Lepisosteus oculatus: one gene and its partner. The protein of the gene in region 2 purifies or fractionates together with the protein of the main gene of each other region. This does not show direct contact. Links are inferred from orthologs where the notes say so. Each region holds a gene or a part of one and is shown on either strand. Other genes may lie near its edges.

The links. The genes of interacting proteins can lie anywhere in the genome.
Region 1: the proteins of gars1 (region 2) and gfpt1 fractionate together in Homo sapiens (co-fractionation; 3 studies listed by BioGRID, with this or other methods). This does not show direct contact. The link is inferred for Lepisosteus oculatus from reciprocal best matches to the Homo sapiens genes GARS1 and GFPT1.

Annotation. Positions count from the first base shown.
Region 1 is NC_090697.1:72,531,682-72,539,543, forward strand, and holds the start of gfpt1 (glutamine--fructose-6-phosphate aminotransferase [isomerizing] 1), read right to left. Parts: upstream 3,107-7,862; 5' UTR 2,989-3,106; coding exon 2,982-2,988; intron 1-2,981. Other genes in the region: NFU1 iron-sulfur cluster scaffold homolog, mitochondrial, read right to left, coding at 5,676-5,720, 6,525-6,699, 7,157-7,220, 7,762-7,862.
Region 2 is NC_090701.1:34,440,910-34,448,604, reverse strand, and holds the start of gars1 (glycine--tRNA ligase), read left to right. Parts: upstream 1-4,644; 5' UTR 4,645-4,692; coding exon 4,693-4,941; intron 4,942-6,631; coding exon 6,632-6,733; intron 6,734-7,695. UniProt on the Homo sapiens protein: Catalyzes the ATP-dependent ligation of glycine to the 3'-end of its cognate tRNA, via the formation of an aminoacyl-adenylate intermediate (Gly-AMP).

The DNA of each region.
Region 1 (7,862 bases), on a different chromosome or scaffold from region 2:
ACAAGGCCTCCATTGAGAACAGCTGGGCACTGAGACTCCTGGACTATAGGACTATGATGGTCTGGCTGAGGGTGAGGTTTCTAAAAACAAGGCTATCCTTTGTAGTGAGAAACTTTAAAGGAGGGGGATGAAGAGTGGGAGAGAGAAAATGAGAGGGACATTCTCTAGCTCAAAATAACACCTGATTTTCTATCAGGATACTAATACTCAGAACACATCACTTGTAAGAGAGTAACTGTACAGTACATGCCCTAAGGATTAAGTGTTTCTACCTGCATTATAAGATATCAATTGTGATGACTGGAAAAGCAGAAGTGCCTTACAAAATTTGTGATAAAGTGATGAATATGTCCAAAGGTCTTCCTGAGCATCCCAAAAAACACAAGCACCCCATTCCCATGCACGGATGCCTCCATCAAGTTGTTTTTGTCCATTTATAAAACTCCTTATGATTATACACAGCAGGTCATGTGCTTTCTATGCTTCTGCTTTCATGAATAACCGTCACCCTCCTTCTTGTTTATAACCTATGCAACATTGACTGATTTCTTTGCTGGCAAACGGGTTCAGTTTGCAAAAGTACAAAAAGCCACGTTATGTGAAAAGAGGAGCTTTACAAAATCACCCAGGAACCCGATCAAATCATCAGCTATATGTGATAGTGGACTGTTTCGATACAAGGTGGAGCTGGCTTGTCTTGGTACATTCTAAAGTAACTGTGTTTTTTTAGCAAGACCCAGTAGAGAATTGTCATTCTTGGGATCTTTAATCTAAACAACAAGAAACGAGTGTTTTGGATATAGCACTACTCGTCCCACAGGTACACGGAAACTAGTAACACAGTGGGATGAAGTCAAGAAACTGCCTGAGGGCTTTGTCGTTATCCTTAAGGAGTAGGTTATTGAATAGAACGAAGAGGTTCATTTCCTGTTTCTGTTATGACAATATACTGCTAATCCTAAAAACCAGCTACTGCAGTAATAAACTAGTTTCTCAAAGTATGAGAGGAAATTATCCTACCACTGATTCTACTAAACTAGGCATGTTTAAAACTGCTGTCTGTTTCTCTAGCATGAGGATTGTTATTTCAGTTTTTGGTTGCCTTTAAGCTAGACAAAATTCAAAGAATGAAGTACTATATTACACGGCTTCAGTTTTTCATGTTAGGCGTTTTAAGATCAAGAACAAAAAGTATATAAGTATAAAACAATAACACATAACTTTATTTCAGCTCTATTTTCTGCTTCATTGCCCACAATGGAGATATGGGAACAACAGCTTGGTTTAGCACTGGATGTAATCACTCATCAGAGAAAGAATGGTGGTAGGGGTTGCCACTGCAGAACCTATTTCTCACCACAGCACACAGACAAATAAACCAAGCAGTAGGTTTTGCTCAATCCTAGACAAGCAGGACTCTGCCCAGGACTCTACTGGATTCACAAGGGCAATGAGTGTCATCTGAGTTCAGACCTGCTGTGTAACTGTCCTGAAGATTTCTAAAACACACCACCTTAAAGAAGACAAATATATCTGCAATCAGCCAGTTGTGTAAAACATCCAGATCGCAACTGAGAAAATGTCTGATAGTGTAAAATGACTGCTTTCAGTTACAGCAGGACTGTAATTTCAGGTGTGCTTTTACATTTCTAAAATGCTTGTATTGTGCAAAAAAGTACAGAATGTTGAAGCTTCTGAAATAATTCTCAGTTAATTAATAGTGTGCTTAATAGTCTCAAAAGTGAAATACCTTCCACCTTCCCAACCCAATTCAAAATGGACATTGATGAGAAGAAATATCATTATGAATGGCATTCAGATTATTTCTAAGTAATGGTAACAATGTCAAGGTGTTAATGTCAACAGAGACATAAGACTCATATTATACCATAGCCATTTCCGCTTTAATGTAATGTGGAGTCTAGACAATTAACTTCCAAAAGCATTGAGTTTATATTAAGACGGACAACAGTTATCCAGATGTTTTTCTTCATCATCAGAAAAAGCAGTAAACATGCCAGTAATTAATATGAACAACAATGAGCCAGACTGCTATGGATTGTTACTCTTATTTGCATCTCTGGCAATGGTATCCAAAAGCAAGAAAAATGAAAATTAAGGCGATAGAATCCAGCGTTTTAAAATCACATTTTGTTGCTGTGTAAAGGCTAAAATGCTATGTGACCCACCGCCGCCAGCAGTTCCTACAGTACGTCTCCCTGCACAATCTCACTCATCCTTTGGAAACAAAAATCGTGCGCTCTGCTACAGTCTGTCAGATAAACACTTCTCTAAAAGAGAAGATTTTCCCTTAAGGCCCTCACAGCCCAGTTCCGCCCAGATAGTTAACCAGCCTTCTGCACATGCTGACCGAGAGCATGTTTGCAGAAAAGGAACATTAAAACGAAAGATTTACGTGCTGGAAAATGAAACAGCAGCGACTGATACTCCAACTTGTACTACAAGGTAGTAGCCAAGTGTCTATCGACTACACCCACAAACAGTGGGTATTTAGTTAAAAAAAGTGTCGTAAAAGAAACTATAAGTGTAAATACTTACGGGTTTTCCCGTGTAGTAATATGATGCATAATTCTAATCCTACTACCTGTGCCGCTCCGGAATTGTTACAGGTATTAATCATTCGAGGGTAGGGATGTTGTACTCAGGCCATGTTTTCCTAACAATATATTTCTTTATAGCCTATATCCGTCAAGCAAAGGCAGGAACATATCCGACTTGACGCGCAAATGATGTGATCGATCACAATAATCTAAACCACACTGTTCGGGTGAAGCAGGGTGATATTTTAATATGCCTATGGGACAATACAGTACAAAGACCGCAGAGGTAACTTCATACTCCTATCGAAGCAGAACACGTAATCCTTCGCACGTTGTATCTCGTCTGCCTAGAATATTATTTAAAAATTCAATATAAAAGTAATAAAGATATACCGCTAATAGTAGGCAGATTTCACTCACCACACATGTCTACGTCTTGGCTGCCAAGGCGATTCTAGTTCCTCCTCAGAAGCCTTGTTGTACAAGCCCCGCCTCATCTCTAATCCCATTGGTCACCATCCAGGTAACCACCTACATGGCCCTGTCCGATTCGTTCAAATGCTGTCACTCCCGTTACCTGGCGACGACAGCAGTTTAGACGTGGCAGCAGGATGCGCAGATCCGCCTCTACGAAGGAGAGAAAGGGAGGTCGGCGAAGGAGGGTCCTACAAGCTCACAGGAGAGACAAGGAGCACCCACTAGGCAAGATGTCAATTTCAGGTCTCTCGTTATAGCAGAGATGCCCTGGACTGCAGGATGTCGTCACATCAAAAACAGACGTGTACGTGCTTAAAGCCTTTTCTCAGACACATGCGTAACCTATTACAACATGGCTGGGTAGTTTATCCCAGACTCCACTCCGATCAAGCGCCGAATTGTGAAGTGATCCCTGATTTTAATCCTAAATGTACTTTTTCTGCGTGTGCTCCTTTGGCTTAGTTTCATTGCTGGTCCTAAAGTAGTTCTCTGGGTTGATTTTTTAAATACGTCAGTCATGTTTCCAGTTATATGCGTGTTTTACGAGTGCAGCTGTATAAATGTGTTCTCTTACTTCTGTGGCATTGCCTTTGTATCACACCCGAAAAAGGATCCACAGCCGAAACATTTCTTCTCTTTTCAGCATGGAATAAACCTTTACTTGTTCCTTTATATCATACGATTTCACGAACGGTTCCGAGGCATCTTAATTCTTTATTTTTTTCACTTTACAATTAGTTGTTTTTAGTTCATAATCCCTATTCATTTGGAATCTACCATATATGCAAAATCTGAAATTGTGGTTCACAAAAGAGACGTGGGAGATTTCAGCACAGGCCTGCGGTGTGGCATGGAGTCATGTTAGGCAATTTCAAACTGCTTGGATTATAAAGTGAAAAAAAAAAGGATTAGTCAAAGGATTCGTCTGTGCGTACAAATATTTATCCAGGTGGGTAGCTGCGTCAGCAGGCGTAGGCTGCGAAGGAACAAGTAATAGGTTTATTCCATGCTGAAAAGAGAAGAAAACAATGTTTCGGCTGTGGAGCCTTCTCTGGGTGTAAGGGGTTTCGTCTCACCCCTCTCTCGCCCTCGCACCAAATGATCGGCCACTCTGCCTCTCCCCTGCTCCTGCCTCCTCCTCTCTCCTGGCTTTTGTTTTCCCAGGCTATATTATCTTTACTGACTGCCTTATCTTTCTTAAACCCAGAGAAAGCTCCACAGCCGAAACATTGTTTCCTTTTTTCTCTTTCCAGCATGGAATCAACCAAATATTTCTCCAGTGAGAGACCTGTTCTCCGAGGATTCTCATGTATGGAAACGCCCATCTCAGCAGTGCAGTCTCCTTGTTTGTAACCTCATGTTCCAACATCCAGTGTCACCATTCTACCTTCCTCTAAAAACATGGACTGGCAAATGAAAATGTAATGAAAATAAAGGCAAACATTTTACAGAAACTAGGTGGTAAGAAATGATCTAACATTTGTTCACACTTAATGTTCTTTTGGAGTTTTCTTTCAGTGATGTGCTTTTTACTTGAGGTATCACGTGTAACACTAAAACACGCATGCATTTGTATTGCTAAATATAGGCGATCTTGTTGAGGAAACGCAAATACATTTCTCTGTAGAAAAATGAGACAATGAGATCCCAAATGCCACTTTTCTTTCTTGTTACACTTCCAATTCAAGAAATATCCCTACAATTTCAGTGTTTCTTACACAACATCTTACACAAAACAGTCTTGCATAAAGGGGCAAATCAGTTTAAAACCATATTAACAATCCCATAGACTTTTAGTCTGAATTCACAGGTAACAATTCTCATTAAAAACTTTTATCGGACACATTTCTTCTCTGTTCTGATGTGAAATAACTGGTACTGGTCATGAAACGAAGCATTTCACATATACAAAATAACTCCACATTCTGAGAATATAAGTTAATAAAAGTGACAATTTCAAGTATCTAATCAGCAAATTCTTATCTTTAACAGAAATAGTATTTACACAACTGTTTCCCAATAACATACCAAGACCATTTGATATAAATGAAGAAACAGTATATTTTAAATACATATTATAATATTTTTACTTATTTTAACTTAATTTGAAAAAAACTGGAAAATATCAGAATAAGCCATTTAAAAGCATTTTGGGCAGGAGTCCTGGCATGTGAATCACTGCAGCCAAGAATATTGGCACAATTTAGGCCTGCTTTCCTTGCAATCATTTCCATAATAAATATCAAGTCTCAATTTATAAAGCATGCAAGGAGATCTAATGAACACTTTCAACCTAAAGATTAAAAAAAACTTTCAAAAGCCTGGTTCTTCGGACACAAAAATAATGCAGCACAGAGTTGGGGGCTGTAGGTAAGCTATAGCTCTTTCTAGCACACACTGTCTGTCACTCAGTGACCTAACGTCTCCATGGTGGAGTATGGATTTTTTTTTCCTTAAAACTTAGTGTGATTCTGGCTATACATACGCACTTCCCAGAACTACAGACTCCGTCTTAAATTAGCTACATTAAAACACTGGGATGGTGGACTAGTTCCTGAACCTGCTTGATTCAACAGAAAGGGTTGAGGGGGAAAGTAGCAATGCACACATCTTAGCCAGGGCCTGATACACTCATTCTCAGGTCTTGGTCCCCTGTTCCATTTCTTCCTCCTCATCTTTTACCTGCAACAACAAAAAAAGATGAATTACAGTCATTGCCTGACACTGCCTTTGTTATTCACTGGTTGCTAGTGAAGAAATGGTTTAAGATCACTTTATTGGCCATATACAATTTCTTGTATTAGGAATTTGTATTTTTGCATACCCCAGCTTGCTCTCCATGAAACACAGACAGGGAGAGAAGCTGGGGGTCAGAGCACAGGGTCAGCCATTTATACGGCTTGCAGTACACAAACCACTCATTGCAATGCATGTTTGAAAGTCCAGTTGTGCAAATAGCACAGGCAATGGTCTACAGAGTAGCAGGAGAAATGCGATATGGACAGATGAATCATCCTTTATTATGTTCTTGAACAACGAATGATGGCACACCTGGGGCCAAGCTGAAGAACTCTACAGCCGAGCATGACACTACTATCTCGATGTCATGGCCTTCTCAGTTCACCAGATCTGAAGCCAATCGAGCATTTATTCTGCAATGGTGCTTGAGAGAGAATTTTCTTCTATTAACCAGGTATGACTTGACTGACTTTCTCATGGAAGAACAGTGCTGCATCCGTCTTATAGAACTCTAGACACTGGTAGATTCTATGTCATGGCACATAAAGGCCATACTGGTGCATGATCCCCAACACCTTAATAAAAGACTTTCAATTGTTTGTTTTTTTTTATTTTTGACCACAAAACATACATCTGTATCATTAATCATGTGTATGTGCATGTTTCCATTTCAGTGTCTGTGCCTAAACATGAACATTGGGGGTGCATCATGTTACTTTCAGTGCCTGTGTTTGTCCCGGTGCCTACCTGCTCCACTCCCTCCACCTCTGGGATGTAGAACTGCAGCATGTTCTGGATACCACTACGAAGAGTGATGACCGAGCTGGGGCAGCTGGTGCAGGAGCCCTGCAGTTTGAGCTTCACGATCCCGTCCTCAAAGCCCCGGTAAAGAACATCGCCGCCGTCTTCCTGAACTGTAGGCCTGGGAATGGAGGAAAAGAAGAGAAAAAAAGAACAGAATCAGAAACGGCAAGAGCCACTTCAACGTACAGCAGAGTTTACAGAGTCTCGCGTTGTTTCTGACTGATTCTGTGGATTCAAGTACACAAGACGATTAATCAACTGTGAAAGGCTGTGAAATGGAGGCACAATTAAAACAAAGGCACAAACTGTCCAAGGAAGGCAGAATGAATTGAAGTTTGAATATACACATTGGATTTCAAGTAGGTATCTGTGACAGCATGCATGGGCTGCAAACGAACAAGTCAAGGTTTATTCCATGCTGAAAAGAGCATGGTGACACAACCGAAGAAGGCTCCACAGCTGAAACGCTGTGGTTCCTTTCTTCCCTTTTTGGCATGGAATAAAACTTTTCTTGTTCCTATACACATTGTAGTTTATTAACAACCACCAAAACAGTACTGTTAATTAGGCAGAACCTGATGCGGGTGTCCAAAAGCTCTTTGATCATGGAGACAACTTCATCATCCTCTTCTGAGGGTGCTGCAGAGACGAGAATCACCGAGAAAAAAAAAACAGGCATTCAAACAATGTTAGATTCATGAGATTGATTGTTCTCTTGTGCAATTTACACATTTGAAATCTGAATTTTATGTGGGGCCCTGTAGCAGCTCTACTAGAAAGGGCATCAGCCTAAACACTGGTGATTTTCTCATCAAAATTCCACCTTTTGTCTCCCTTTAATGAGGGATACAGGTGCAGGCGGGGAGCAAAACTAACCAGGCACAACCAGAAATGTCAGTGAAATAGCCATAACCCTTCATGCCGTTAATTACAAAAGCAAAGAAAGAGGATGTTCAATAGTTACAGATCTCACAGTGTGGACTTATTCTGGATATTAGAATTTCTGTTTGGCAAAAGTAGTAGAAAATCCGAGGGTACATCTGGGTAACTAGTGTGAGCAACATGGCAGTATATTAGTTTGATATCAGGTCAGGTTATTAGGGAGTATTGCTGGGAAACAGCATTTATTGCCTGCTGGTCTTTTTAATACCAGAAGTACCTTCTCCAAGGGGACAGGTACCTGTATCTGCACGAGGGGTGTCCTCATTGACCACTGGCAGCCCTGAGCTGAAGAAATCCATGATGGCTGCATAGATGTCAGGCTTCATCACCTTCCACTCC
Region 2 (7,695 bases):
AGAGTTGAATGCCTGGGATGGGAGAAAATGTGCAAACAACAATATCCCAGTCACTTCACAAAGCTGGCTTGTATGGCACAGTGGAAAAGCCATCTCAGATTCCCAATGGGGTTTGCAATAAAGCATGTAAGTAAGACTGCAAACATGTGGAAAAAGGCTTTGCAGTCAGACAAGACAAAAATGAAACTTTGTGGTCTAAAAGCAAAGTGTTACATATGATGGAAAATCGGCACAGTGCATCACTCAGTCAACACCATTCGTACTGTCAAGCATAGTGGTGGCAGCAGTATGTTATAGTTCTGTTTTTCATCAGCAGAGACTGGAAAGCTTGTCAGGACTGATGGGAACATAGATAGAACAAAGAACTGGCAAATCTTAGACGAAAACTTGCTACCTACTCTAAACTAGGACAGTATTGTCCAGTAGGACAATAATGAAAAACACAAGGTCAAAGCTACACTGGAGGGGCTTAACAGTAAGAAAGTGAAGGTCCCTGAGTGGTCCAGTCAAAGTCCTGACTTGAATCATACTAAGAATCTGTGGAAAGACTTCAAAACAGCAGCCATATCACCCTGCAACTCACAACTGGCAACCCACTGAAGCTAAGCAGGTGTGAGCCTGGTCAGTACCTGGATGGGAGACCTCCTGGGAAAACCTAAGGTTGCTGCTGGAAGAGGTGTTAGTGGGGCCAGCAGGGGGTGCTCACCCTGCGGCTCACGTGGGTCCTAATGCCCCAGTGTAGTGACGGGGACACTATACTGTAAACAGGTGCCGTCCTTCGGCTGAGATGTAAAACCGAGGTCCTGACTCTCTGTGCTCATTAAAAATCCCAGGGTGTTTCTCGAAAAGAGTAGGGGTGTAACCCCGGCATCCTGGCCAAATTTCCCCATCGGCTGTTATCAATCATGGCCTCCTAACAATCCCCCTCTGTGAATTGGCTTCATTACTCTGCTCTCCTCCCCACTGATAGCTGATGTGTGGTGAGCGTTCTGGTGCACTATGGCTGCCGTCGCATCATCCAGGTGGATGCTGCACATTGGTGGTGGTGGTGGAGGGGAGTCCCCATTACCTGTAAAGCGCTTTGAGTGGAGTGTCCAGAAAAAGCGCTATATAAGTGTAAGCAATTATTATTATTATTATTATTAAAACTACTGTCCATAAGCAATCCTCAAGTAACTTGAGAGTGTTTGAGCCAACAGGAAAATTACAGCAGGCCAGTTTGAAAAGTTGATATAGACTTAGACCAAAAAACTTGCAGCTATAATTGTAGACAAACCCACCTAATATTTAATTCACAGATCTGAATACTTATGCAATCAGCAGATTTTTCTCTTTAGGATTTGCTGATATTGGCTGTAATCTACTGTATCTAAATGTTAAATAATAATAATTCCTAACACTTTCATAGCACTTTTCTGGAAACTCCTCAAAGCGCTTTACAGGTAATGGGGACTCCCCTCCACCACCACCAATGTGCTGCCCCACCTGGATGATGCAACCACAGCCATAGTGCACCAGTATGCTCAGCACACATCAGCTATCAGTGGGGAGGAGAACAGAGCAATGAAGCCAATTCATAGATGGGGATTATTAGGAGGCCATGATTGGAAATTTGGCCAGGACGCTGGGGTTCCACCCCTACTCTTTTCAAGAAACGCCCAGGAATATTTAATGGCGTTCTGCTGCAGTATGGTACAGAGTCCCCATTACCTGTGAAGCGCTTTGAGTGGAGTGTCTAGAAGTGAGTAACCAATTATTATTGTAACGCAACGGGGGCTCAGGCGGGCGCCCTTGCCGCATCTGGTCGGCCCCTGCACCGTCCGGGGCTCGAACCCGACTGGAGGTTCGAACCCGGGACTTCCGCGTCTCTCTGCAGCGACCTAGCCCCGTGAGCTAAAGAGAGATCTCTCTACAGCCCAGTAGATGTAGTCCTGCTATCACAGGGAAGGGCGGTGACGTCACCCGCTCTGGTACGCCGGCTCTTACACACAGTGCTTGTCGGCCGTAAGCGTTACACTCTCCCCTGCTTAAATCGCCGTCCCCGGCGAAGGGCTATCCCATCCCACTTCTGACACCACGGCAAGGGCGCCCACCTGAGCCCCCGTTGCGTTACATTGGTGTCTGTAGAGTGTAACGCTTACGGCCGACAGGTACTGTGTAAGAGCCGGCGTACCAGAGCAGGTGACATCACCGCCCTTCCCTGTGATAGCAGGACTACAGCTACTGGGCTGTAGAGAGATCTCTCTTTAGCTCACGGGGCTAGGTCGCTGCAGAGAGACGCGGAAGTCCCGGGTTCGAGCCTCCAGTCGGGATGGGGCCGACCAGATGCGGCAAGGGCGCCCGCCTGAGCCCCCGTTGCGTTACATTGGTGTCAGAAGCGGGGTGGGATAGCCCTTCGCCGGGGACGGCGATTTAAGCGGGGGAGAGTGTAACGCTTACGGCCGACAGGTACTGTGTAAGAGCTGGCGTACCAGAGCAGGTGACGTCACCGCCCTTCCCTGTGATAGCAGGACTACAGCTACTGGGCTGTGGAGAGATCTCTCTTTAGCTCACGGGGCTAGGTCGCTGCAGAGAGACGCGGAAGTCCCGGGTTCGAGCCCCGGACGGTGGAGGGGCCGACCAGATGCGGCAAGGGTGCCCGCCTGAGCCCCCGTTGCGTTACATTATTATTATTAGCACCAATGGCAGATCAGACCAGCACTATTAAAAACTGTGAATAACAGTGCCTTGCTTAAGCAGAAGAAGGCATTCCAAATACAGAGGAACAAGTAAAAGGTTTATTCCATGCTGAAAAAAAGAAGAAAGAGAACACAACGTTTCGGCCGTGGAGCCTTCTTCAGGTGTGAGAGAGACAGGGCAGTAGGCAAAGGTAAAGTAGCGGGAGAACAAAGGTTGGGAGGGAGGAGGAGTGAGAGGCGGGAGCAGGGGACAGAAAGAGAGGCCAATCAAGAGGTGTGAAGTCAGAATGGGTGCAGAGAGGTGTGAAATGAAGCTTCCAATGAATGGAGAAAATTTAAAAGAACAGTAATCTGTCGTTAAGGGAAGGGAGAATGTGTGATCCTAACTGCAGAATAATTTTAGTTTCGGTGGTCTTTCTGATGTATGAGTTCGGAAAACCGTCTTTGAGAACACAGACGGAGAGATTAGTGTGGTCGTGGCTGTCAGAGGTGAAATGAGAAACAATGGGCTTGGAGAGATCTTTAATCTTCACAGCCCTGACGTGTTCTCTGAAGCGGTCTCTGAGTCTCCTTCCTGTTTCTCCAATGTAGATGGCTGGGCATTTACTGCAAGAGATACAGTAAATAAGGTTGCTGGAGGTACAAGATGCTGTCTGGGTGATCCGGAATTGTCCTGAGGGGCCTTGAATGAGTGTGGTGGTGGCTGTGTACTTGCAGGTGATACAGCGAGCTATCTGTTCCAAATACAGATACAACTACATTAATCAAGCCCTACTCCTCCTATGACTGTTGCCTTCAGTAATGATGCAGCCACATGGAAAAGTGCACGAGTCACATTGTGTATACTGGACAGAGCCGAGACAAGCTGGTTGCCAGAATCGCAGTAAGAGGTCTGTGGTTTTGAAGAGAAAATGTGAACAAGGTGGAATGCAACTCCTATCCAAGAAGCATTTTTGTTTTCATTTTCTAGAATGAGGCAGTTGTTCATTGTAAGCTGTGTTGTAGAAAATGAAATACCTTAGATTCCTAAAATGTGATGTAGGATTTATTTTGTTTTGCTTACTTCTGTTTGAAAGTAAGAGGAGGGAAGTGTGACGTCGGTTGAGATAAAGAACAGAATTCACCGAGCAAAGGAAATAGCTCAGACGTTTTACAGTGACATTTCCCAGAAATTACCCCATTCCCACTGGCAACTCTCAAAGAAATCAAAATATTTTTTTTTGAGTAAAGAATTATTTACACTATTTGATTTTTATATTGGACTGAGTATTCTTTTTGACTGCCTCTTTTATAACCCAAGAAAGTGTCAAGTTATTTCCATTACAAAAGATCTCATGTGGTTTCACATACAGTATTCAATTGAATATACGTTTCTATAGAAATAAGAACATTGGCAGTTATTTACAATGTTAAACTGGAAAAACCACCTTAGTTTTAAGTCATATGCAAAAATACAGAGTTCATCTGGGGGTTTGTACGAGAGAACCTTAAAAAATATTTTAAAATATACCAAAATTAAAAAAAAGATCAACCATTATATTCTCAAAAATATACTAAAAGGGATGTAAATAGAAACAAAAATGATTCGAGAACAGATATAACTTATCAACAGTGGATATAAATGCAAATCAAAATATTACATTTCTAAATTAGATTCTAGGGCACCAGATAAATTCAAATTTGTTTGTGTACTTCTCTTAATTGTGATGATTTTAGCTTTAATTGCTGCTTCAAACTAGAACAGGTCGTTAATGTTAACATTTATTGTGATTGAAATAAAACCTTTTCCAACCTTTTTCGATTATGAAATGAGTTTTAGGTTATATATAGCCATTCAAGTAAGATTAAACGTGGGTCCTCTTTTTTCGTCGAACCTGCTAGAGCTAATTTTTCCTAGTGGAAAAAGCAGCAGCGCTGCAGCGAAAGTGCTGATCGTGTGTAGGCCCTTTGTTTACTTGTTTCCTGAGATTTCATCATTCTGTCCCTGCTTCACTACTACCGGTCTTTTCGGTCCATGCGTTTGAGAGCTGCACCCGCCCTGCTGAGGTCCTGCATCGAGACTGCTGCTCTCTTTGTAGCACCCAGGGCACTGTCAGCGCCGCATCGGCTCCACCGTCCGCACGAACACAGGCTCTTCTCTTTGTCGGCCTGCTTGTTGAAGAAAAACAAGGAAAGCCTTTGGCAACAGCTTGCAAGAGGAAGAAGTATGGACGGCAATATCGAAGAGGTGCTGGCTCCTCTGAGACAGGCAGTGAAAGAGCAGGTGGGACAATAATGAACGGTTAAGTTCCGGTATTCGGGCTGCTATTATTTGTCATAATTGATGCTGTTACGGCCTATTAACTGTACTGCCAAATTAAGTTTTAAACGAGAGATCACAACTCCTGGACATGTTGATTAATATATATATATGTGTGGAACGTCGAATATTAATGTTACTTTGACATTTGACCTCCCTCGATGCATTGTCAGGTGAATCTTTAATGTGGACAATAAAAGCATCAGTTTCCTGATTGAGTCAGTAATCTCGATGTTCTTTAAAATCACCAATCAATACAACCCAAGACGAAGGGCATGTAAAACGTATATAAAGACATGCAGTACACGTTAGCATGGCTTAAAGATCTGAACCATCTCATTTTGCATTATTTTTTGAAAATATCAGTTCAGCGGCATACCAGATCCTGACTCCCTGACTTTCTTTCAGATGTTCTGGAATGTGCGGTTGTGATTTTTTTTTGTTATACTTGAAATTACAGTTTAGTTATGCTTGTTAAGTATTATTGGAAACCCCTTTATTTCGCAGTTTTGGATTGCTGGTGTGCCCGCGTTATTAAATTGGCGCACCTGTGTAAGAGTCAAGTGTGTACAGGTAATATACACTGTATGTTGCGCTCAAATAGTCTAATCAGCAATGCAGAGGCTCTACAGTGCCACGTTTAAGCCTCCATCAGCATCACGAAGTCAGAGGGGAGGAGTGAATATGTTGGCGATTCCTGTCTTTTCATAGTTGTTCATGGCAGGATTAAATCTTTGTGGCCCTGTAGTACGTACAGCGGCGTAGTTCGGTTTTTTGTCCCCATTGTTGAAAGGAAATCTTTAAAAAGATCTTTCTAGTGAGCAAAAAGTGGCGAGTAGCTTAAGTCCCAATTTGATCAGCTTTATCAGTTTTGGTACTGATTTATTTGTCGCCGTTAAGAAAAGTGTCTTGCATTATCTAAGAACATATCACGGTGTAATTGCAGTCGGCTTTTGACAATGTCACAGTTATAAGACATGAACGTTTTCTCGCATGGGAATGAATGTCGCGCATGTCATAAATGCTTTGAATACTTAAAGAAACCCCCCAAAAAATTCTTTGAACGTTTAAATCACAATTTCTGCCTTTTGGAGGTGCGGTCTCTGCCTCTGTAATACCGTATTTACTGTTTCTGCGCGATAAAAAATAACAGCAGTTGTAATGTGAAATAAACTTTACACCTATGCAAATGAAGTCCCCACGGGCTTGGTGCCTGTTTATGATGCTCTATAACTAAGCGAGCAGGCAGGAAAACCATTAGTCCTTAGTCATTGGTGATCCAACTTGAGGTCATAACTTGAGATCCTAGCAATGATTTTAAAATGAAAACAAAATGTATTTAAAATGCATTGATCATTGGAAAAAATATTGAAAATATGATCAATTTCATTGCATTATTTAAAAGCAATCTAATACTACTAAAAGCGGTCTAATACTACTAGAATTATTACATCAGAACAAAAGTGTTGGTTGCACCGAATGCTTTACTCTGAAAAACAGAACACTATAAAACCCTGCCATTGTAAATCTGCACTGATTTTAGATCCTTTTTTTTTTAATTATGGCAGTATCTCAAAATTTTTATAATGTCTATGTAGTTTCACTAAATTTTACCTTTTTAAAGGTTGGGATGTTGTTTATGTTCTCTTCCCAGGGTGACTTGGTGCGCAGACTGAAGAGTGAGAATGCCCCTGATGTGGACATTAGCAAAGCCGTGGCAGAGTTGAAGGCCCGTAAGAGGATACTGGAGGCTAAGGTACAGATTTCTGCCTTCATACTGTATGTTAAGGGCAGTTGTTTGTCATGCAGTTGGCACAGGTGTGTTTTTTTGCACCACTGTTTTGGTGGGTTTTTTTAGTCTCAAAGTCCTGACTGGTTTTATAGTTTTTAAGGGGAGTGTTTGAGTTTATTGCAAGGTTCCAGTATTAGCGCAGTAGATATTGGTTTTATTGCCAAGAAAATAAAACACATTAATAAATTTGCAATGGATGAATGCCAAAAAAGAACTTATTACCACTAATATCTGAGTTAATCCCTGTTTTCCTATCTCTTATTGCTGTACTGGAAAAATAAATTGCTACTCCAGAGATCACAGAAGTCGTATGCAGATAGGCTTTATTTACAAGCATGCAAGAGGGATTTGCCTCAGAAACCTCCCATGACTGTAGCAGGAATTTTATACAGTAAAAGTTTTTATATACATCACTGATGTTGAATCCATGTAAGGAAGTTCCCCTTTTGGGTGAGTTTTATATCCCTTTTTCTGTTCAGTGGTAAAACATTTTTTTATAACCACAAGGGCAATTGTGGCAAAACAGTTTTAGGGAAAATGCATAATTTGCAAAACAACTCAAATTTTAAAAAATGTACTTGTACTGGCTTAGTTGGCATACAACTTAATTCCCCTCGATTAACCCACAAGACATTGTCTTTATGATGTTAATTCCACACCTTTGGTGCAAGTATCCATTTTTTTCCATAATCCCAGAACATTAAGAATGTGATTCTTCCCCTCTTGGATAGCTCATTTATTGATGCTATCTTCAGGGAAATCAGTAAAACTTAACAGTTCATTCTGATCTGCCCTTTAAAGGCCTAGATACCACCAGTTTGCCCACAACATTCATGCCTACTGTAATTCTCTTTTATACCTAAATTGCAGAACTTGGTACATTATCAGTATTGGTAATGTTTTATCTTGCCACATCCACAAACTTT